Linked DNA regions of Alligator mississippiensis. The main gene of each other region encodes a partner of the protein of the gene in region 2 in a complex. Links are inferred from orthologs where the notes say so. Each region holds a gene or a part of one and is shown on either strand. Other genes may lie near its edges. The genes, in order: TPX2, AURKA and TACC3.

Evidence for each region.
Region 1: the proteins of AURKA (region 2) and TPX2 are in contact, whole or in part, in a crystal structure (PDB 3HA6), measured with the Homo sapiens proteins. The link is inferred for Alligator mississippiensis from reciprocal best matches to the Homo sapiens genes AURKA and TPX2. Residues at the interface, in NP_001310232.1 of Homo sapiens: Lys125, Arg126, Gln127, Trp128, Asp132, Glu152, Gln154, Ser155, Phe157, Leu159, Lys166, Glu170, Gly173, Glu175, Leu178, Arg179, Val182, Glu183, Ile184, Ser186, His187, Leu188, Arg189, Tyr197, Gly198, Tyr199, His201, Val206, Tyr246, Ser249; in NP_036244.2 of Homo sapiens: Gln3, Lys5, Ser6, Ser7, Tyr8, Ser9, Tyr10, Asp11, Ala12, Pro13, Ser14, Asp15, Phe16, Ile17, Phe19, Ser20, Ile31, Asp32, Trp34, Phe35, Glu36, Lys38, Ala39.
Region 3: the proteins of AURKA (region 2) and TACC3 are in contact, whole or in part, in a crystal structure (PDB 5ODT), measured with the Homo sapiens proteins. The link is inferred for Alligator mississippiensis from reciprocal best matches to the Homo sapiens genes AURKA and TACC3. Residues at the interface, in NP_001310232.1 of Homo sapiens: Leu130, Phe133, Glu134, Ile135, Gly136, Arg137, Tyr148, Leu149, Ala150, Arg151, Ile158, Val163, Arg205, Tyr207; in NP_001428248.1 of Homo sapiens: Glu523, Ser524, Phe525, Arg526, Pro528, Val531, Leu532, Gly533.

Annotation. Positions count from the first base shown.
Region 1 is NC_081832.1:1,643,893-1,651,348, reverse strand, and holds the start of TPX2 (targeting protein for Xklp2), read left to right. Parts: upstream 1-4,165; 5' UTR 4,166-4,256; intron 4,257-7,456. Other genes in the region: BCL2L1 (bcl-2-like protein 1), read right to left, coding at 718-1,269. UniProt on the Homo sapiens protein: Spindle assembly factor required for normal assembly of mitotic spindles. Required for normal assembly of microtubules during apoptosis. Required for chromatin and/or kinetochore dependent microtubule nucleation.
Region 2 is NC_081832.1:9,930,447-9,938,598, forward strand, and holds the start of AURKA (aurora kinase A), read left to right. Parts: upstream 1-4,901; 5' UTR 4,902-4,947; exon of another isoform or gene 4,948-4,992; intron 4,993-5,292; 5' UTR 5,293-5,297; coding exon 5,298-5,351; intron 5,352-5,725; coding exon 5,726-6,008; intron 6,009-6,485; coding exon 6,486-6,540; intron 6,541-6,835; coding exon 6,836-7,027; intron 7,028-8,152. Other genes in the region: CSTF1 (cleavage stimulation factor subunit 1), read right to left, coding at 1,955-2,150, 2,868-3,044, 3,953-4,072. UniProt on the Homo sapiens protein: Mitotic serine/threonine kinase that contributes to the regulation of cell cycle progression.
Region 3 is NC_081825.1:17,675,472-17,682,833, reverse strand, and holds the start of TACC3 (transforming acidic coiled-coil-containing protein 3), read right to left. Parts: upstream 3,351-7,362; 5' UTR 3,248-3,350; intron 1-3,247. Other genes in the region: TMEM129 (E3 ubiquitin-protein ligase TM129), read left to right, coding at 7,336-7,362. UniProt on the Homo sapiens protein: Plays a role in the microtubule-dependent coupling of the nucleus and the centrosome. Involved in the processes that regulate centrosome-mediated interkinetic nuclear migration (INM) of neural progenitors.

The DNA.
Region 1 (7,456 bases), about 8.3 Mb from region 2:
TCTCACAGGCCTAAGCACTTCCACAACTCAGGCAGCCCAGACGCTACCAGAGCATGTCTCTGGAACACGCAGTAACATTCATACAAGCCTGTGGACAGCACCCTGCGTACACTGCTCAGGATCCAGCGGGCAGCAGCAGGCTGTTTGCACTGACTCTGCACTTCAGTGCTACCTTGCAACGCTCTGCTGATCTAGGGCCAGGCTGCCAGGTAATGCAGAGGCCCACAGGAAGCAGGACAATCTCTAGCACACTTCACTTGCAAATGAAGCAGACCAGGGATTCCCGTTTCCATTGCCTCAGACCTCACCACACCAAACAGTCCAGGCCTAGCACTAAGAGGTCCCAACTGAACAAAGAATTGGCTCAGCCCTGGGCTGGGTCACGGACACTCCAGGTCAGACCTAAGAGATGGGCCTTCTGTTTCAGACAAAGCCTGGATTGTAGGTGCACAAGGCTCTGGGAAACAGGCCTTTGTACAGAATGGCCAAGGAGATAGGCAAGACAGCGGGATGAAAAGGGCCCACCAGAGGGCAAGCCTGGGTAGCATCCCCTTGCTCCACCACAATGGAGTGACCCTTCATAGCAAAGAACACAATGGGAAAGGCCCTGCACCAGTTGTTCCACCCTGGGCACCAGGGACAAGGGCTAGGATGTGCAATGCTGTTAGCAAGGCAGAGGAGAATGGGGAGCTCTCCCTTGGAGAAGGAGCTTCTTACCCAACCGCCGTTCTCCTGGATCCAGGGGTCGAGGTGGTCGGTCAGGTAGGTGGTCATCCACGAGACAATACGTCCAACCAGCACCTGCATTTCCTTGTCGACGCTCTCCACACACAAGGCCCCTCCGAAGGAGAAAAAGGCCACGATGCGCCCCCAGTTCACTCCATCCCGGAACAGTTCATTCACCACCTGCTCGAAGCTCTGGTATGCTGTGCCAGGGGTGATGTGGAGCTGGGATGTGAGGTCACTGAAGGCCCTGCGGTACCTCAGCTCAAACTCGTCTCCCGCCTCCCTTAGCGCCTGCCGCACTTCAGCCGCCGGAACACTCTCCTGGGCTTCCAGGTTGTTCCTGTGTCCAGCAGCCCCATTCACTACGTGGCTGGCAGCGGGATGCCAGGACGGACTCCCGTTCGGGACACTTGCCATGTCCTCCTCTCCTGCAAACTCAGTCCTGGTCTCATCCTGCCCCTCAAGCTGACTCCAGCTGTGTCCTCGCTGTGACAGCTTGTAGGATATAAAGTCAATCACTAATTCCCGGTTGCTGCTCGACATTTTCACACTAGGGAGATTCTCATCGAGTCCATGGTCCAGAACACCAGTGTGCTTACCCAGTCCAGACTCTCCTTTTCTCCAGGATCTGTGCAAGCATCTGACCTCTGAGCAGACAATTAGAGAGCAGGGAAGAAAAAGAGGCAAGAACATATTAGCAATGCAGCATTTTACTTCCACTTGTAGCATTAACAACAGCAGCTTCTTACTGCTCAGAGAAAGCAAGCATCCTTGAAGCTACACCTCAGGCTTCAGGATTTAGTCGCCCAGAAAACTGGCAGCAAAACATCCATTTCAGCAACAACTAGGCTAAGCCCCCTTGGATTTGCTTTACAAACGACTGCAAGTCGCATGCATGCGCAACACATCCCATTCAGCCGCCTTACATGGTCCAGGTACAGCTTGAGAGCTCCTTTGTGATGTAGCTCCACATAGGGTCTAGGGGGTCTACCCCCTCTGCTAAAGGTCTAGGAGGCTCAGTCTCCAGCCTCCAGCTCTGCCTTGTCTCAGGCAAAGCCTCAGAAGGAAAAGCAGCTCTGGCTGAAGTGATCATGCCATGCTGCATGCTGGAAACACGAAAGCACAGCGAGGCCCTGAAGCCCCAGGATCTCACCCTCTGCCTATTCCTCCATTACCTTGATTGAGTGCTGCAGCTCTGCAGCAGAGAAGCAAAAGGCCCTCCCTCCTTCCCTCTCAGCCTCACGCCCCCTCGGTCTCCGCCTCCCATAGAGGATCAAAGCTCTTCCTGAATTTTTTAAAGGGACCAGCACTGGGTGAGGCCTTCAAAATATGTGCTTGTGCTCTATTGACCAACAATGGCACATTAAAAGAACAATGAGGCCCCCTCTTACACCTATCATAAAGCTCTTCCCAACAATGAAGGAGGCTCTGAAACAATAGCAGCTGGCAGCCAGCACAAGGGAGTTTGTTTGAAGCTTAAAGCATCATTTTCCATTTTCCCTTCTGGAAAGGATTAGCCCCGGGTCAAGTTTCACCAGCTCCCAGGTGTGCTGAAGGTACGCAGTTCCTCTGGCCAGACCTCGGGAAGTGTTACAATGGACCCCTTGCATTTCAGTGGGATCCCAGGAGCTACAGGCTCACTCCCCAAACCTCTCCTCTCAAGAACAGTGGCAAAGGAAGGAACACAAAAGAGCTGTAGTGCTCCTAAGAAGTTGGGAAAAACTAGAAGCCTATTAATCTACAGAGTATTACTTACCTACATAGTTAATAGGTCAGTAGGAGGAGGAACATGTACACTCACAGATAAGGAAAGACAAGATCTAACGCCCAGCAGCATTTTGAGGGAAACCCCAGCATTCCAGAGACTTACGCTGGCATAAGAGAGGAGCAGAAATGCCCCTGAGGAAGTGTGTCCTAGATACGTTCTTTTCCCAGTACACCACAGACACTCTCTGTAGTGGAGAAGTGACTTACCCCTAATGTTATTCTAAGCAGTCATTTTTCTGGAACCAGATTATTAACAAACCTTACTGTTTCAGAGCTAAGAGCTCCCTCCCCACAGAGCATGCACTGGACCGGCAGCCTCTGCACTGGCTTTGCCTGCATCTCAGCACTCCTTGTTTACAGGATTGTCCTCACTTCTGTGTTTGCACTGGAAGCAGCTGCTCTCTGCCCCATTTCCACCCCATGCTCAGGCCTGGGGGCAGAGGACACGCCGGGTGGCCCCACCTCGCCCTTTCCGGGTGCACCAGGGACAGACACACAGGCTCTCTGGATTCGTGCTGGGGAAGGAGCATGTGTGTTTCTGTACTCACCCCCAGAGAGGAGCTGCAGGGAGAAAACTCTGGGCTGGGAAATCTCAGCAGGCTGCGCCTCCTGGACCAGCTGCAGAGACACTTCAAATTAGTAATTTGACACAGAGAGCCTACTCCCTTCCCCGCCCCCAAGGCACAAGCCCCGCCCCCACCCTCTCCAAGTCCCTCCCTACTCATCTCTGCTAAAGGGCAGATGTTGGGAGGAACTCAATACATGCCAGCGCTTCTCCCTCTCTAGGGCACCCCTGGAAGGCTCCTCACCGCAGCGCCAGGGTGGCAGATACAAAACTAAGGCTTGCCTTAAAAGACCATGCAGTTGGTTCGGCTATTCGTATAGGGGAATCTTGAGAGATTTTTCGACCTCTGTCAGCCCAGGTGGGATTTCCCAACACCCGCTGAAACCGTGCCAGCTCAGCCTTGCTCTCGCTTCCCCTGCTGGGACGTTCCCACCGGGGACCGAGACGGCGGAGTTTCCCTGGGGCTCTGCGGCGTCCCTCGGGTGCAGGCGGAGACGCGACCTCCAAGGGAGTCGGGCTCCAGTCCGCTCTTCGTGGAGCGACGTTCAGGTGTCCGAAGACGGTGCGAAGCGCCCGCGCTGTGGGGCCCTTTCGCATTGCGCGAGCCGGGGTTTCGCGGCGCCCTCCGCTGCCCACCCAGGAGGGTGAGTCGGGGGTTTCGTGAGCCGCCCGTGGCGCAGACTTGTCCCGGAGCGGAGGCTACGAGGACAGCCCACGGCCGCCACACGCTGGAAGGAGAGGGCACCGTGGCCTGGTGTGGGTGCCCAGGGGGCGCCCCCCCCAGTCTCCATGGCAACCAGCCAGGGGGTCCTGCTGGGGTTGACATCCCCGTTCGCGTGGCTGGGGAACTACTGTGCCCCGCCTCCGCACCAATCCCAGGCAGGGAGGCGGCCGGGGGGGCGGGGACCCGCGGACGGCGCGCTCCCATTGGCTGCCCTCCGTGTCCGTCACGCCGCCCTCACCTGAAAGGCCGTTGAAGGGCCCAGCCCCTACCCCTTCCCTCCCCCGGCGGAAGCGGGCGCTACGGCCGCCCCTCAGGGCCCCGAGCCGCCTCAGCGGCCCCCAGCCGCCGTCTCCATCGCCCGTTCAGCGGCAGCCGCTCTCCTCAGCGGCTGAGGGAGGGGAGTGCGCATGCGCGAGGGCCGTGCCGGCTTGGGGCCCCGAGGGCGCATGCGCCACTCCGGGGCGGGGTAGGAGGGTGAGTAGTGGCGCATGCGCAAGAAGGGGGTGGGGGCGTTGTTGACCCAGTGAGCATGTGCAGGACGTTGGCTACGTCAGAGCGTAGGGCTTTGGCGCCCCCTCTCGGCTGCACTGGGGAATGGGCGGGTTGGTGTTAAAGGGCCCGCGTCCTTCTTATGCTGTTGGGTGGGGAGGGGAGAAAGGGAGGGGTAGAGACGCTCGGTCAGGCTCAGGAGGCTGCAGAACTGCCCTCCCCCCCCCCCCCCCCCCCCCCAGACCACCATAATCTTCACCCATCCCCTTCCTGGCCTGGGTGGCAGGGAGCTGCAGGACCCCCCCTCCCCCCACCCCACCATAATCTGTACCCATCCCCTTTCTGGCCTTACCCCAGGGTGCATCAAGGTGCTGTGCATTTGCCCTGGTGCCCTGCTCACTTTGGCATTCTCTGAGCAACGTGTGTCATGGGCTGCTCTGCTTTTCTCTCCTCCCCCTGGCCCCAGGGTGAAGCGTGTGCAATGCAGTGGCAGGGTAGGACTGCTTTGGTTTCTAGTGTGTAAGCTGCATGGTGTCTGTATGGGGACTGAAAAACAAAGTTCTTTGGGTACATGCGATATCTTTCCTTAGAACAACTAAATAGCTGGAAAAAATGTTCTTTGTAAGCTTTTGGGTACCAATATCCTCCTTCAGGCATAGGGAGAGTCAGTGGTCACTGTAGACACAAATGGGGAGAAGGACAGGGGGCTTGGAGTGGGCCTTGGTTCTGGACACATCTGCCTACCCTTCAGTTGGGTCCTGGGGGAGTGCTGTGTCCTGCATGAGTGTGCTGGACCCTATTGGTGAGAAACTCCAAGCAGAGGAGTTGTGGCACATCTAAAGATCACCTAGAGCACACAGCTAACAACTCCACTGTTGAACAGCTGTGATGGTGAGCCTGGCACTGCTCTACCCCGGGAAGCCAATGCAGAAAGGGCAGGGCAGGATGGGTGTGTTCACATAGGCCTTCATGACAAGGAGAAACCTGTTCTTTGCTGGCTGGAGTTCCTAAGAGCTGATGGCTTCCTGCCAGGTGTACTGTGTTGCTGTAGGCTAGAGAGAGGTGATGGAGACGGGTGTAACCAAGATCGGGGGTTCTTCATCCTCATGGAGTCCATTGAGTGGCATCCCTTATAGACCTGCACTGGTGTCCACTACGGTAGGACTTCTGTAGAGCAGCATTTCCCAAACTTCTGGGGTCCATGCTGCATTACAGCAAAGCTGGCCACTTCTCTCCTTACCATCACCTTTAGCTGACAGTTTTTGTTCAGTGCTGTCGAGTCATATTTTGCTTGTTTGTTTGCTTTCTGTTAAACTCTGGTCCTGCCTTCCAGGAACTTTTCAGGGTGCTTGCCCTATATTTTGAAAATGCTGCTTTAGAGAACAGGTATATTCTTAGTATATTATATAAAGAACAATATAAGAACAGTCATGCTCAAAAGTTACTATTTGTGACTTTTTGTGCTTTTTTTTTGTTGTGAATGCATACTTCCCATTTGGCATGAAGTATGATCTGTTTTAACTGGTGTAGCACCTAGTCTTCCAAACAAGAATTAGAAGAATAAAGCAAGCCATTAAGTAATGGTCCTTAATTTACCATTTGAGTTCTGTGATTCTGTAAATTCGCAGTGGTGATTGTGCGCTACCATCTGAAATTCTTGCTGCCTGCAAAACAGGACATTAATGCAGTTGTTATAATTGAGCCATCTGGCTTTGTTTTGGCTTTTGTGTGTGACTGTGTAATCTTGTGATTGAGTAACTGTTCTGATTTGCTACTGTTTTCAACTGCTCTACACAGGAATAAATCAGACTGGGAGCTGCAAGGTGGGGAGAACTGAGTCCTTAAAATAGTCTTAAAAATTAAATCATTGGCAATGGTTTTGTTTTGGGTTGTTTGTTTGTTTGTTTTTTACCTTTAAGTATCTTAAAAGTATACCTTACAGCTGGGTAGGAATGAATATTTAGTGGTTAGGAGGAATGTGAGTCTCCAGAATGACTTGTCAAATTGCCCTGAAAGCACGATACTAATGCTCCTTTTAAGCAGCAATTTCAGGGTGAAGCTTTGAAATGCTGTTGTTCTGTCTCTGCTCTTGGGCAGTGTGGCAATGCAAAGAATCTTGTTGGGCACTTTTCCCCCAAATGTTTCTGTGCAAGTCATGGAATCCTAGAAAAATAGATTGGAAAGGTCCTCAGGATGTCGTCTACTGCTCAAGGCAGGATCATCTCTTTCTGACCCAACCTAGACAAGTGCTTGCCTAGCTTGTTCTTAAAATTACACAAACAACCCTGTCACAAAACTACAAGGTATATTGCCCCCAAACTGTAATTTGCCACAGGTAATGCACTGCCAGTGTCCTACTACTGTAGCCAGCATCCAGTGTGGCTGAGGAAGGCAGTCCCTGCCCAACACAGGACAGGGGGGAAAGGAAAAATAATCCTTCCTGGCCCTGTGTGGCAACCAGCAAAGCCCAGAAGCCTGGAGAAAACACCCCCATCCACTCTGCTCAGCAACTGGGGACAGCAAACCCCACACATGTTGCAGCTAGAACTCTCCTTTCCATGACCCCGTCTTCTCCATAAACTTATTCCAGCTCTATCAATTTTTATCGCTAAGCCCGTTCTGGAGTTCTGCTTCATTCTCTTGCTAGCGAACAGAGAGCCTCCTCCCTTCCCCAGTAGACACCTGTATACAAATAGCTGAACCGAAGTGGAAGGGAAGAGGCTCTTGGCTCGCTGGTCTTCTCCAGTACCCATATGCTCTGGACTGCAGAGCCCTTCTCGCGATACCCCAACCAGGGTTCCTGGTCTTCCAAATTTGCTCTTTAGAGCGCACTCCTGGCATAGCTTCTCCAGCCTCTTGAAAGCCTCCAAGGATGGAGATTCTGCAAGACCTTCCTAGGCAGTTAGTCCACTCCACAGTCTTTCTCCCAACTGTGAAGAAGTTTCTCCCAATGTGCAATCTGAACCTACTTTCTGCAACTTTGAGCTACTGCTAGTAAATCAGTTTGACCAAAGCATGGTGCGTGTTTGCAGCTCCTGCATTGGGATAATGAGTTGTGGGACTGCATTGCACTGCCTCTGGGGATATGGTTCATTTGTGACTCCACCAGCCTTGAAAAACACTTTATTTTTGCCAAACCAATTCTTGCTGAGTCATGGCAAACAGGGAGAGAAGCCTTGAACTTT
Region 2 (8,152 bases):
GAAAAGGACAGTATAACCATGATGTGCATGTTTATAGTTTCTGGCTGAACAAGCTAACACTTTTTTAAATGGATACAACTAGAACTGTATGGTTTAGTGGTCAAGATACCAGACTGAGACTCAGACTTGGATTGTTATTTCTGGTTCTGCTACTGATTTGGTTTGAAATCTGGATACATCAGTTACTCTCTCTTTCCTAGTTTTTTTTCACCTCTGACTTTTTTGCTTAGCTTATTAAAATGGTAAAGTCTTTCGATCAAAGCTATTTTTAAAATATGGTCACTGCCTTGTTGAGACTTCTAGATCCTACTACAGCACAATCTCTATAAAAAAAAATTCTGTTATGCTGCATACTCCAATGCAGATATTGCTTAATGTCTGCTGCCAAACATGAAGTTTATGCTGTACAGTCACACTGTGTATTGTCCAGTCAAACAGGCTGTACTATAGCAGATTTGAATGCTGACCTGATAAGCAACATTAGGGTATGCAATGCCCCTATTCCAGCAGACGCTAAGTGACTTAGGACCTACCTGCCCTTCCTCAAGACATACTTCCTGTGACATATAGCACAAGGTATACAAGATGAAGTTCAATCCGTTAACTAGGGATGCACCGATAGAGACTTTTTGGGCAGATACCAATAGCTAAAATTAAGGAGGCGTATCAGCTGATATCAATCCAATTTCTGATACAGCTGGTAAGTCCATTGTGGTAGAGGGGAGGAAAAGGGCGGGGGAATATCAACACCCCACCATGGTGAGAGGGGGGGCAAGGCCAAGTGCTGCCCAGCCAGGGCAGAGCATGGGACGCTACCCTCCTCTGTAGCCACCCCCGAGCCCAGCTCACATGGAGAAGAGCCTGCAGCTACAGCTCACCTGCCCTGCACAGATCCGGGGGCACATGCCTTCCTGGGGTGCAAGCAGTGGCAGGAACAATCCCCTCCTCCCCCCCACCACGAGGAGCTGTGGCTTTGGCCCGTGCCCCATCTGCCCCCTCCCTCACCATGTTGGGGACGGACGGATGGACACACACATGGGGACATTGATCTGCCCCCCCAAAGCCCCTTCTACCACATCAGACTTACCAGCTGCGAGCAGCTCTGCTCCTCACTGCCTGAGTGCTGCGTTGCGGCTATGCACATACATGAGCACTTATTGGCCAAATTATTGGCCACATTGAGCCGATTTCCAATACAGCCAGTTTTCTTTATATCAGTTCTAATCCGATATCGGACTGATGTAACGGCGCAGTTAATCATTTTGCAGTAAATTAACCAATGTGGAACTCCATGCTGCTATGGCTAAGCTGCTTTTAGGATGTGAATAGTTCAGCTGTTTTGATGCTATGCTGTAGTCTAGGTGCAGGTATGTCATTAGAGAGGGAGTGGCAGGGCTGCCTCTTTTGTGGCCTTGGACCTTTGGATCCCACTGTCTTCCAAAATCCTTAAAGCAGTTTACATTTCCAGCCTTCAAAACACAACAGGACACATGGTTTGTCCACTCTCTGCAAGGAGATGTGGGCTGAGTACAGCTTATGTTGTTCATATGGAACTGGTTATGTCAGTTTCTATGACCTTTATTACCACATGCTTTGCTTTGATCTGGTACATTCAATGAACCCATGTATTATGATCCTGAAGGCTTTCAAAACATTCAGGGTACTGGATAAGCATTCTTGTATGTGGCAAAAGACCAAACTGCTTTTGAAAGCCCTGCATTTAATATTTCCTATCCACAGCAGAACCAGAGAAACGTAGGGATAGAAGGACACTGGAAAATCATCCAATCTAAACCCTAAATCAAAGCAGGATCAATGCCATCCATGACACTAACAACAGAGCATCATTAAGAGTGATTTTTGCATGAGAGACTGAGACCACTGTGTACCTGCACTGTAAGCAAAGTTGAATTTCAAAATTCCTCATTTATTGACATTAAAATTTACAGCTTACCTAGTTTAATTAAGTGCAGCAGCTGCTCAGAGGGTGCACAGACTGACTGTGGTTTTATCTCATTTATCAGGCCATTGGCAATGTTTATGTATCCATCATACAGCAGCTGACTAATAATCAGTTTATACAATTGCTGACGATCTTTCAAGCTCACTTTTGTTCTATACATTGCGAGCAAGGACTGCCTTGCAGGGGCCTGAAACAAAGATAAAAAAAAAAAAATCACAAAATAAAATTGGACTGAACTGGCGTTGCCTTTCATAGAAAAGTGAACCGCATGTCATTTTCCAAAGTTCCTTAATGGAGATAAAGTCAATTAAAAAGGTATTGCATGGGGGGGTGGGATTTTCAGCTTGCGATCAAAAGTAGAGGGCAAAAAAGGTATTATATATACTGGGGGGAAGAGGGAGACATGTTCAGCTTGCAATCAAAAGTAGAGGGCAAAAAAGGTCTTATATGTACTGGGGGGAGGGGGGGGGAAGAGTTGCTCAGTTTGCAACCCGAAGTGGAGGCCAAAAACCAAGGTGCCAGAAGAGATGACAAAGTCGTTCCCGACGGCAGTGACAGCGGAGGAGCGCGCTGGCCACCAGCATGCGTGGGGCTGCGATGCGAGGCTGACAAAGGCCAAGGGCCAGGAGAGCGGCAGCGGCGCCGTCTGCAGCCGCGGTGCCGGCAGGACCCCGCTCCGCGGACGAGACGGGCGCGGGGCCAGGAGCGGAGGGAGAAGCCGGCCGGGGCGCCGTGGCCCGCGCGGGCGGGAAGGGGGCGTGGGGGACTCGCGGCACAGGAGGGCGGGGAAAGAAAACCCGCCCGCCAGGGCGGCAGCGGCCGCACCCAGCGGCTCCCGGGGCAGCGCGGCCGAGCCGGGCCGGGGAGGGACAAGACACGCGCAGCCCCGCCCGCCGGTACCTACCGACCCTTCCTTCGGCCTCCCTCGCTCTCCGCCTAAAATGGCGCCCGGAGCCCTGAGCACATCGATGGGAGGCGCCGGCGGCGGGGGAGGCGGCGGCGGCAGCAGCAGCCGAGAGCGCAGGAGGCTCCGCCGCGAAGGCAGCTGCATCGAGCGCCCGCACATCGATGGGAGCCGGCCCTGGAGGGAGGCAGGGAGGGAAGGGAAGGGACAGCCGCGTCAACGCGCATGCGCGCACCCCGCCGCGCCCGGCAGCCACGTGACCCGTCCATGGGCTCCCCCAGCACGTCCAACACGCGGGCCCGATCCTGGGGGGTGGGGGCAGCATGGGCAGAGGGGTCTCGTGATCCCTGCGGGTGAAGGGAGTCTGGTGGAGATGAATGAAGGGCAGCAGAGGCTGCTGTGGCTCCTGGGCAGGCAGCAAGTGGGGGACTGGGCAGCCCAGGCCTGAGGGTAGTGGGTTCAGATCCCAGCTGTGGGCAGGTGGGGTCTCAGGGAGCAGCCTGGGTGCAATGGTGGCCTTAAGGGTGTTGGGGCCGCAGGCCAGCGGGTCGTCTGGGGCCCCTTGGAGGCTTAAATGTGGATGACCTGTAAGCACAGACATTGGTTGCAAACTTCTAGGCGTCCCCTAAAGTGCAGTCACCCCATTTGCCCTCCCCTAGGGCCGTCACTGCCAGGTGCTCCTGTACGGGGTCTGTCCCGCCACGCGTCCGTGCAAACCACTGGCGTAGCACGGGTCTCCAGCACCCAGGAACCAATGCTTACATTTGCACCTGCCTGTCCACAGGCAATCGCCAAGTGGGAGGAGGCGGCCGATCGCCGAGGCCAGAAACAACGGTGGCGAAACAGGAAGTGCCGCCAGGGGACCGAATACCCCCCGGAGGGCCCAGCCGGCGCCTGGGGGTATGCCCCCTTGGTGCTAGGCCACTGCCGCAGCCGGACACCGCGGGCAAGCGCGGGCTCCCGCCGATTTTCGTGGCAGCGCCGGTTGGTTCCCCACTTCAACCGGGCAGCAAAGTCTCAGGCGCGGCAGGCTCCTCCTGGGCACCCCCCCCCGCCCGCCCGCCCCAAGGGACAGCCGTACTCACGTCAGCCTCGAGGAAGGGCAGGCGCAGGGCCCGCGGGTCGATGGGGGGGGAGCCCATGTTCCCCAGGCCCCGTGGCAGCGGGCGTCTGTCGCAGGCTGGGACGAGGCGGCGGCCCGACATCCTGGCGCTCGCTGCCGGCACCGGGATCGCCTCCCCGCGCTCTGTCGGGCGACGGCGCTGTCAGCCGCCACCTACCTCTGCGGCTGCTCTCGCTCCGCCGGGCCGGCTCGGCTGGGCTCACCGTCGGGCGATGGCGGCCGGTGGGACCCGGAGCCACTCGCGGGTGCCCGCAGGCGGGAGGCGTCGAGCGGGCGACGCTGCGGCTGGGCCTCCGGACGTCCTCGTGGTGCTCGTATGTATCACGGCTGCGCCCGAGCGCTCAACGCCGGCCTGCGGCACAGCTGCCCCGTGCGGCCTGTGCAGCCCGGGCCCGGTGCCCTCCTGCCTCCCCTGAGGGGGCAGCGCAGCCCCCCCCACCCCCCGCTGCCAGGAGCCGGGGGCTGCCGCCTCCCAGCCAGGGGGCAGGACTGACCTGAGGCACTTCCTGCCCCGCTAACTGCCCGCCCCGCGGCCTCACGGGGCGGCGGGCGGCGGGGATGGCACTTCCATCGCTGCCACGGGTGGGTGGTCTGGGCTTACGCGACTTGCGTAAGGAGAGACCAACCGAGGCCGAGAACTGGCGGAAAAACCGACGTAACTGTCTCGCCGATCTACGCAGTTGGCGCGCGCCGGGGGTGGGGGGGAAAAGCGGCCGAGGGGCGGCACGTCACCTACGCACGTTGCGTCGGCACCGCCCTAGGGGCTGGAAGCGGCTCACGCTACCGCGCAGGCGCTCTGGAGACCCGCGGCCTGAGAGCGACGGGAGGGGGCGGGAGCAGTCGTGAGCCAATGGGCGGGCGGGGAGGGTGGAGCAGGAGCCAATCAGAGCGCCAGCGTGGTGGGAAGCGGGCCAATAGGGAGCAGCGGCGGTTTTAAAGGCTGTTACGGGGAGGGAGGTTTGAATTCAAACAGCGCTCGCGGTGGGGTGTGGGGCGGTGGTGGTGAGGGCCGATGGGGGTATTGGGAGGGCTCCTGGGATCCCCGCGTGTGGGGGGCAGATGGTCCTGGAGAGAGGAGGAGGGCAGGGAAATATGGTCCTGGAGTGGGGGGTGGAGGGGCAGATGGGCCTGGAGAGAGTGGGGGGGCAGGGGTCCTGGAGTGGTGGGGAGGGGAGGGGCTGATGGGCCTGGAGAGAGGGGGCAGATGGGTCTGGAGGGGGGAGGGGCAGATGGACCTGCTGGAGAGGTTGATCTGAGCCTCCAGGCCAGGCTGGCTTGTATTTGAACTCTCTCTTTTTTCAGGCAGCATGGACAGAACCCGGAAAGAGAACCGCCCCGGCCTGCCCACACATGGTGTCAAGGTAAAAGGCCTTGTTCTTTGCTCCACCAGTTCATCCTGGTCCTTGTTTGCGATAACCCCTTCTGGTCATCTCGACAGAAGGCCCCCCTGCCTTCTCCAAGTGTTCGCCCTGCCTGTGTATGAGGCCGGGCAGCATAATGTACGTAATGCGTAGCAGAGGTGTTAATAGCTCTGTTATGGAGGCCTATGTTGTTCTTAAAACAGTCTGAGAATGTGGTACTGTCCCCACTTCAGATCGATTTAAATTTTTACTTTCCATTGGTAGGCTAATGGGGAGAAATGCAGCTAAATTAGGTTGTGCGAGGGTGGAAAATGAACTTCATGAGTTACAGTACAATAATTAGTGCTTCTGCCTTGTCTTGTGTGTCTGTTTAGATTCCAGCCCACGTTGGGGATGGCCCAAAACGAGTCCCCGTCTCTCAGCTTCCTCAGAGTCGAGTCCCTGGAGGCGCAGCCCAAGCACAACGTGTCTTGTGTCCTTCAAACTTGGCTCAGCGAGTTCCTGTACCATCACAAGCTCCAAAGACTGCAGCGTCTAATCAGAAACTGTCTCATAATCAGCGGATGCAGCAGCCTCAGCCGACATGTGTAGTTCAAACATCTTCTAGGCCTCAAGCTCCAAATAATAATGAAAAGCCTCATCATGTCCCAGTATCTGGTAAATAGATTCATTTACACATCTATCTCATCTTGACATGACACCCAGGAGACTTTCAAAGATTGATCATTAAACTGGTTGACTGCAGCAAATTAACAGACCTGACCCTTATTTTCTATAGATCAGGTTTGTGTAACTTATCTTACATCCTGACTTTCTTCCATATAAGAGGATCACATTCACATAGGAAGATGGTTGAAATGTTGGGTAGTATGAACCTACACAGAATTATTTCTGGATTAATAACATTGGCCAACTAGCAGGGTGCTACCTGCTTGTCCCCATAACAGAATAGTGACTAAAATTTAACAGCCACAGATGGTAAGGTACCTTGCTGATAGATATAATATTATAATAATAGAAGTATCATTCTACCCAAAACTTGGAATCTAGAAAAAGCATGGTAAAAGCTGACAGTTGTAGCAGTTGTGTTTTGTGGGTTTGATTAATTAAGGTGTTGAAACTTTTTGTATGCAGCAAACCAGCCTGAAAAAGAAGGTACTTCTAAACCGAAAAATCAAGAGACTAAAAAGTAAGTTGCATTCCTAGTATTTTTGTGTGTTAACTGGGAACCTAGACCCAGAAGTCTAAAATGCTTGTCAGTGATAACTGGGTTAGAATTTCACTCTTAGCATTTAAGGATAAATAGTGTAGAAAAAGTATTCTGCAGTTTAAATATATTGGATTTTGAGGCCAGATCTTGATCTTGGTTAAATTGATACAAATCTTAACCCAGAATAACTCCATGGACATTTATACAAAAAAAAAGAGTTCCAGGCCTTTTGTATTCTAGCAGTTTAACTATATTTTTTTTTTTCCTCTCTTAGGAGGCAGTGGTCTCTTGATGACTTTGAAATCGGCCGCCCTCTGGGAAAAGGGAAGTTTGGAAATGTATATCTGGCTCGTGAAAAACAAAGCAAATTTATTCTGGCACTGAAGGTGCTGTTTAAATCTCAGCTGGAGGAAGCTGGAGTAGAGCATCAGCTGAGGAGGGAAGTAGAAATACAGTCTCATCTTAGGTAAAAAACAAACAAACCAACAAACCCCCTCCCCCCCAACTTATTAGAATTGTAGTTAAAGATATGTTGTTTCAAGCAAGATAAGCAGCTGAACTTATTGCCTCCTGAATTCTATCACCTTAACACAAAGTTTGAACTCGTCTACATGTAACAGGAGTCTTTATGCTTTTATACTCTGCCATGGCAATCCCTTAAAATTGCATCTATTTTTAAGTTACAGTGGACTTTACACAAAACATGTTTAAGGAAGTAATTTGAAAGAACTACGGTTTGGGGGGAAGTCTTTATATCCTGTTGTATAAAGGATACAACAGAGAGGATGCAACTCCAACTTTCTCTTAAACTAACCTTACTGGATTCTGGCTTCTGACTTGCTAGGCAAAGTGACAGTGTGAGATAATGGCTGGCATAATGCAGTGAATTATTTTGTACTTGAAAATGCTTCAATTCTATACATGCTGAGGAAGAACAGACTTTGTCATTGGCAGTGTTTCCAAATGGCATCTCTCCTATTGAATAAACCTGGATATAAGGGAGAACACCAATTTAAAAAATGAAAAGTATCTTTAGCAATAACATCCTAAGACCCTCTACAACCCCCAGCATGCATGCCAGAGTATGGCATGCGAGGCCATTTTGCTTGGTACATCACAGCTGGCCCCAGGCTCTGGGCAGCTGCCATGGGCCACTTGAAGCAGACAGCTGGGAAGCTGCAAGCCATGTTGCAAGCACCCTGGGCTCCACGGCTGGTAGCAGCTGCCTGAAACCCAAGCTGGCTGTGGCAGGCAGCTGGGGGGTGAGGCTTTAGATGGCTCCATAAGGCTCCAGAGCTCTTGGCTGCTTGTGTGCCTCTGGGCAGATGGCAGGAGAGAGGCTGGGGTTGTGCTGCCCTATACCCCTCCCCCACCATCTGCCCAGAGGCATGCATGCAGCTGCTGTCGGCAGAGGACCGGCTCCCCTGTGGTCCGTCCCTGGCATGCCAAGTTGAGGTGTGGGGTCCGGGTTGGGGTGTTTTTGCCACTCCAGCCAAAAATGATGTCAACCCCTGCTGTACAGCTTGGAGGGTGGGTAGGGGTCCCACCTTCTTGAAGTGTGGGGAACCCCCTGTCCCCCCAAGAAAATAAC
Region 3 (7,362 bases), on a different chromosome or scaffold from region 2:
GCCAACTAGCCCGTCACATATAGAAAGCATAGAAAGTTAGGGTTGGAAGGGACCTCAAGTGATCATCTAGTTCAACCTCTGCTCAAAACAGGACCATCCCAACTAGATCAGGCCAACCAAGGCTTTGTCTAGCTGGGTCTTAAAAACCTCCAAGGATAGAGATTCCCTCACCTCTCTGGGTAAGCTGTTCCAGTGTTTTACTACCCTCCTAGTGATAAAATTCTTCCTAATATCTAACCTAAACCTCCCTTTCTCCAACTTCTGTCATCTGCCACCACTGAGAACAGTCCAGCTCCACCCTCTTTTAAAACTGCCCTCCAGGTAGTTGAAGGCTGCAATCAAATCCCTGTATGTGTCTTCTCTTCTCTAAACTAAATAAGCCCAGTTCCCTCAGCCTGTCCTCATAAATCATGTGCCCTAGCCTGCTAACCATTTTTGTAGCCCTTCGCTAGACTCTTTTGTTGTATTTTGAATCATTAAAATAACAGTTTAACTGCTACTGGCCTTTCAATTTGCCAGAGGAAGTCTAGCTGAATTACAGACATGGTCAGTGGAATTCCAGCAGCGCTGAAGATAGCAAATTACTTTAATTCAACATTTGAGTAAGATCTTACCTGCATACATTAGATAATGGCTGTAAGTGCTATTCTATGGTCTATTTATACAATTATGCTCCTGTTATACTTGTGATATTACTGCATAATTGGGTGTAGAATGGGATAGAGCTAAGGCTGTGAAAGCCATCACTGAGCTTTCTGTACAATGTATACAAAACTTCACCATTTGTGTTGGGTTTGAGCACGGGATAGTTAAGTACAAGTACCAGTCTGGGATTGCTTTCTAGTGATGCTCTTGAACAGGCAGTCAGCTCAAGTTTTTCAGATCAAGTGCATGCACCCAATCTGAAGCTAGAAGAGGCCCAGTTGAAATACTAGACCCCGCTTCAGGTTTGACAGTTTAGGCCAATGTTGCAGCACCCTGGGTTGCCTTGAGATCTTTTCAAGGGTGCCACACAATGTAATCACTGCTCGGCGTGCAAGCCCGAGTCAAGATAAATTCACCCAAAGAACCTTGTCTAAAATTTCAAATAGGAACCCATAGTATTAAAAGCACTCTCTTCTGTTGTGGTCTTTCCAACTTCTTTACAACCAAAGAATGACTCTATTATTTCTCTGTAGTCAAAAAACAAGTAACAACCAAGAGCTGGCCTTTTCCAATGGGTGCCCTGAGACGAAGGAGACTGTCTAGGAAACAACAGACAAAGCCACACACAAATCCTGAATGCTTAAGGTTTGCAATGAGTTTGCAGCAGACACGAATGGGATTATTGTACTCCAGTACTACTAATCCAGTTATCTGGGCAACAAACAGCATACAAGTATTGCTGACATTTTAGTCTTAGTCTGCCTTTGTGACCAATGTTTAGACCTTTAGTCATGTGCAGTCTAAACCCTAACTAATGCTTAAAACCTAATGAGAGCGACATAGGGCTCATGCACAACACCACAGAAAGTCTCAAAGTAGCATTGGAGTGGTCCTGTAGCTGGGATGGTCCTGGAAACACGAGTGAAACACAGAGTTTTTGACAATATTTCTTGATGTCCAATACAACTCAGATCACATTTTGCATAGAAAAACTTAGTATTTGGAAAGAAAACTAACTACAGCCAACATGGTTTCAAATGCAGCGCTGATACCCTTGGCAAACGGGCAGTCTGTAAATCCCCAATGAATGCAAGGCCTGCTGCAAGGATTCAGTTATTAGTGACACACGGGATTGTATTACAACAGGGATATCAAATTCTTCTGGCCCCAAGGGCTGGATCAGCGCCATTTCCCCATCCCCACGCTCCTTGCCAGATCCAGGGCACATGACCCCTGCTCCTGCTGGTCTGGGACCTGGCAGGAAGGGGATCAACATCCTCGGTGCTTGGCTGCCACTGGGTGAGGAGGAACGAGCCACAGGGCTGTGCTGGGGGTCTCACTCACCGTGGCTGTCACTGTAGGGATATGTCCCATTGAAGTGAGAATTGGGGAAAATTGCTATCTGGCCCATGGGACATGTCTGATACCCCTCTACTTTGTTGTGATTTGCACAACAAAGAGCACATCCCAAAGACACTCTCATGGACCCAGAGGGACAGATTTCTAGCTTCAGCCTCCCCTGTGCAAAAATGAAGTTGATTTCCTACCGATGGGGACTTTTTACCATCTTTAACTTTCCCTGAGCCTGATGAAGGGCATGTGAGCCCAAAAGCTTGCTGAAAAAAAGATTTTTTTTTTGCAATTTCTCGGTTGGTTTAATAAAAGGCATCATCTCAGAAGCAACAGTTCTGGATTTTTTGCATTTCTTTTTGTCTCAAGCCAACATGGTGACCAAATACACTACAGCATTTGAGAAGGACATCTCAGGCGCCTGGGACAGAAGTTTCATAAACTGGTTTGACCCAAACCAGCTAAGTCTGATACTACATTCAACCCGGTTTATCTTAAACCAGTTCCAGACGTTTTGAAACGGGTTGATGTGCATTGAACTTCTGTTCCGTTAGAGGTTTAAACCCGTTTTTGATGACTTAAACTGGTTCACGTGTAACTTCTGTCCTTAGCCCAAGGGTGGAAATCAGGTAGGACGAGCAGCAGTCAGCACCTATGGGATCACATCCAGCACGCTTAACCGTTTTGAAAAGTTTATGCAATTTAGAGAGAACCCTTAGATTATTTTGCTAATTAAAATATTAGTCATAGAAGTCAGACAGAAGTCGGGCTGGACGGGACCTCCAGGGGTTATCTCGACCGGCCCTTGCCCGAGGCAGGCCCCACTACAGAGGAAGGCAACGTCCCCCTGCATCTCACGGGGGAGACATCCCTTCCTCACCACAAACAGCCCTGGCACACTGCCCTCCTCCACCCCTTTATTCACTTTTGTGACAGACTTGTGCATAGTTCATATAGAGTTGATAGTGTGCAAAAGGCAGAAGTGTGTGTGTCCTTGCGAGGGAGAGTGAAAGAGTACATGTGCAAGGGGGGGTTCGCGTATCTTTGTGTGTGCATATGCAAGGGCGAGTGTGCATGTGTCTTTGTGTGCCCGTGTGCAAGAGGAAGAGTGTGCAAGACAGGGGAATGTGCGTGTCCTTGCGTGCGCGTGTACAATAAGGGGGGGCGTGCGTGTGGCTTTGTGTGCGAGTGTGCAAGAGCACGTGTGCAAGGGGGAACTTGCCCGTGCATGCGAGCCCTGACCCGGCCCTACCTGCCTGCCGAGCGGCCCTGCCCGGCCGGGTGCCCGAGCCCACAGTCCACCTCTACCTCCACCTCAGCCCCGCGCGCCGCCGCCGGATTTCAAATTTCAACGGCGCCGCTCTCGCCAATGAAAGGGCAGGAGCTGCGAAAGGCCGTGGTGATGCCTGTCTGAATGGACCAATCAGAGAAAGGTAGAAGGGCGGGACAGCCGAGCACTCAACCAATAAAGATGTTCCGGATGCTGGAAGCAACCAGGGGGTGGGGTGCTGCGTGAAGCACGCTGGGAAATGTAGTTCGCGGGGCTAAGGCCACTGCCCTGCTCTTCTTCCAGGAGTGAGAGTTAACCCTGGAGGAGCAGAACGAGGTCCTGAACCACGTGATCTCGGGGAAAGCAATGAGAGGCTAACATTACTAGAGAATTAAAGACGAAAAAAACCTGCTTGATTTAATATAAATAATTTTTTTCTGCTTTCTTCCAAAGACAAATGTGTCATATTGAATGAACTAGTTTGAATGTTTGTAATGGTTGCCCATTAGCCAGTTTCAGAAAGAAGATAAGATTTATCTCCTTATCTAGGTCATTGTTTTGGACTACGTGTAGAAGATCCAGACTTTGCTTAAAGTTTTAACTCTTGAATTTTATCTTTAGAAGTCTTTAACAAAGAGAACCTGAAAATGATCCTTAAAGCAAATATCCTGAGTGCGGAGAGATCTAACCCTAGGGCCTTTTCGAAAAGATTGGAAAGAAAAGGTCACTTGCAGTGATATGGAAGTTCCCCAAAGTCATTAGAATTTTCAAGAAAGAAACTGATTACCAAGCAAAAGAATCTGTTGAGTAAGATCTGAGCCCAAATTTGGGGGTAATGACAGGTTTGAGTAGGAGTGGCCCAGGACGGTAACTCACTCAATAAAAACCGTAACTTACTCTCCCAAATTGGAGGTGACTATACTTGCAGAACAATGAAGGAAGAATCGCAAGCGTAGACCGGATCAGACTGATCACCTGAACCACCCTCTCCGTGAACACGAATCTCTTAGTTCACGCTGAAGCTGCAGAGCGCCCGAAAGGGACTGAAAGAAGGGGACTTAGTCCTATCAGTATTGAGGCCAGCCCATTGAATTGTATTGCTGAGGCGAGCCCATTGAACCGTACTGCTGTGGCCAGCCCATTGAATCGTACTGCTGAGGCCAGCCCATTAAATTGTACTACTGAGGAATGAAACCATATTTAGGTGTTTGGCTTCTCGGAATTCTAGGATTGTAAGTATATTATGCAAATAATAGTATTGATTCAAGTGTAACTTTTAGTTGTAATTGTAGTTGTTTTTGTAATACTAATTCTTAAAGCATTGTTTGAGAAGGAAGCGCATTCGGAGCATTGTTTCTGATATATGTAATTATTGTGTTCTTAATTTTTGTGGTATTTCTTAAAGCTAAGCAGTGTTATATGCGTAGCAAAGAATTTTAAAATAAAATTGTGTTGTATGAATTAAGTGTGTAATCATTGTGAAATCGTGCAATCAATACTTCCCCAGCCAGTGCATCAAAACGAATCAGTAAATTGTGTGGGATTTTCTCTATTCCATAACCCACTAGAGACAAAATGCTGCAATGTTTCCTGTAGGGTGCTGGACGTGCCCCATAGCTTTCTGTCTCAAGCAATACAAAATATTGTTTTAATGTAACGTCATTTTCCAAATCATGATCTTGCCTCTTACAAATATTACTTATAGACTCATCACTCCAATGCTATCACTGCACTGTCATTATTCTTCCCTAATAACCTCTGCAAGCAAATCACAAGTTAAAAACCTGCTGCTCTTAGTCTGTTTTAATTGCAGATTTACTGTGAAACTTGCTGCGCTCCAGCTCTTGAGTCAGGAAGGCGGCTGCATTAGCCAGAGACCGTGCTACAACTATAGAAACAATTAAATCTCTTAGGCTGAAGTGCCCTACAATGAAATGCTGCAACCTCCTTTGCAAGATCCACACTATTTTGGTTTAAATATGACTTTATTGGCAAAAACAGGCACATGAAGCGTTAGTAAAGTGTACAAAGAACCAAGAAATCTGTCCTCCATTTGCAATGTTTCAGCCATCTGCCAAGATGCAGATCCCTAGAGTGTTTGTGGTTTTACTCTCTGTCCATTTGTTGTTAATTTTTAATTCATGACAAGTTAGGGCCCCATGAGATGCTCTCTGTCCTCTAGGGTGATGCAGTTTTCCTCTTTAATAGGAAGCCTCAGATTATGGCTGTTTATCCTGAAGTGCAGGCTGTGTGCCCAGCGCTGTTGAAGACAAAAAAACCCTAATTTCTGCTGTTATTTTTATGACCAGTAGCCACACTCAAGGAACAAGGGCTAGAAGGGACGTCCAGAGGTCATCTAGTGCATCCCCTTTCCTGAGACAGGATCAGCCCTATCCAAACATCCCACGCAATCCATAATCTAAACCAGGCGTTGGCACCGTTTTTCGGCAGAGTGCTAAAAACACCCACAACCTCAACTTGTAAGATGTTGGTGTGACAGGAGCAGATGGCAGGGGAGCCATGAGGGGTCCAATCCTGCCCTGGTCCCTTCCCCACCATCTGCCCCGAGTGCATGTGCCAAGCAAAATGCCTTTGCAAAATGCCACACTCCAGTACCCATGCTGGGGGTTGCCTAACCCTGATCTAAACTCTACTCAGGATGCCCACCCACACAGACGTGACACCCGAATCTGCCACGCATAATGCAGGGAAACCACAGCACCAACATCCTGCTTCTATGAAATGTTGTCAATACAGGCTCAAGACACCGGGGTAGAGGGCCTCTGCACCCCAGTTGGTCCCCATCTGACCAGGGGTTAAGTTCTTTCCTGACCCCAAATGGTCCGGGCACATTTCCCTTTTCTTCTCCTACCCTGCATCTTCCTCTCCCCCCCTTTTTTTTTTCTATCCTCTCCCCACTTAATTTTTTGTGACAGATGTGTGCATAGTTCATACATAGTTGATACATGTGTGTGTGTATGTGTGTAGGTATGTTTGTGCATGCATTTGTGCAAGTCTGTGTGCATGTGTGTGTACATGCATTTATGTATGCATGTATGTGCATGCTTATGTCTGTGTGCATGTGTGTGCTAATGTGTGTGTGCACTATGCATGTGCATGTCCATGCTTATGTGTGTGTTGGTATGCTATGTGTGTGTACATGTGCATACTTTTGTGTGCCTGCACATGTATGTGTGCATGTGCTGGCTTGTATGTATGCATGTGTGTTGTGTGTGCATGTGCATGCATATGTCTGCATGTGTGCTCTGTGTGCATGCTAATGTGCGTCTGCATGTGTGCTGTGTGTGTGCATGTACATGTGCCTGCATGTGTGCTGTGTGTGCATGTGCATGCTAATGTGTATCTGCATTGTGTGGTTATGTGTGTACTATGTGTATGCATGTGCATGCTAACGTGTCTGTGTATGCTCTGTGTGTGCATGCTCATGTGTGTGGTTGTGTGTGTGCTGTGTGTGCATGCTAATATGTGTCTGCGTGTGTGTGGTTATGTGTGTACTGTGTGTGCATGTGCATGCTAATGTGTGTCTGCATGTGTGTGGTTATGTGTGTACTATGTGTGCGCATGTGCATGCTAATGCCTGTGTATGCTGTGTGTGTGTGTGTGTGCATGCTAATGCGTGTGTGCATGTGCGTGGTTATGTGTGTGCTGTGTGCGAGCGTGTGTGCGTGCTTATGTGTGCATCTGCATGAGTACTCTGCGTGCGTGTGTGCGTGCTAATATGTCTGTGTATGCTGTGTGTGTATGTGTATGCATGCTAATGTGCCTGCATGTGTGCGTGTGCATGCTAATATGTCTGTGTATGCTGCGTATGTGTGCGCATGCTAATGTGTCTGTATGTGTGCATGTGCATGCTAATGTGTGCTATGTGCGTGCACGTGTGCATGCTAACATCCACGCGTGCGTGCACCGGTGCAAACCCCGCCCCACGCAGAGCCCGGGGCTTTGGTGACGGGGCGCGCGCCGGGCGGGGCTGCTGGGGGCGGTGCCGGACTACGGCTCCCAGGCAGCGGCGCGGCGCGGCGCGGGGCGGGGGCGCGGGGCTCGGCGCCATGGAGAGCCCGGCGGTGACCTTCACG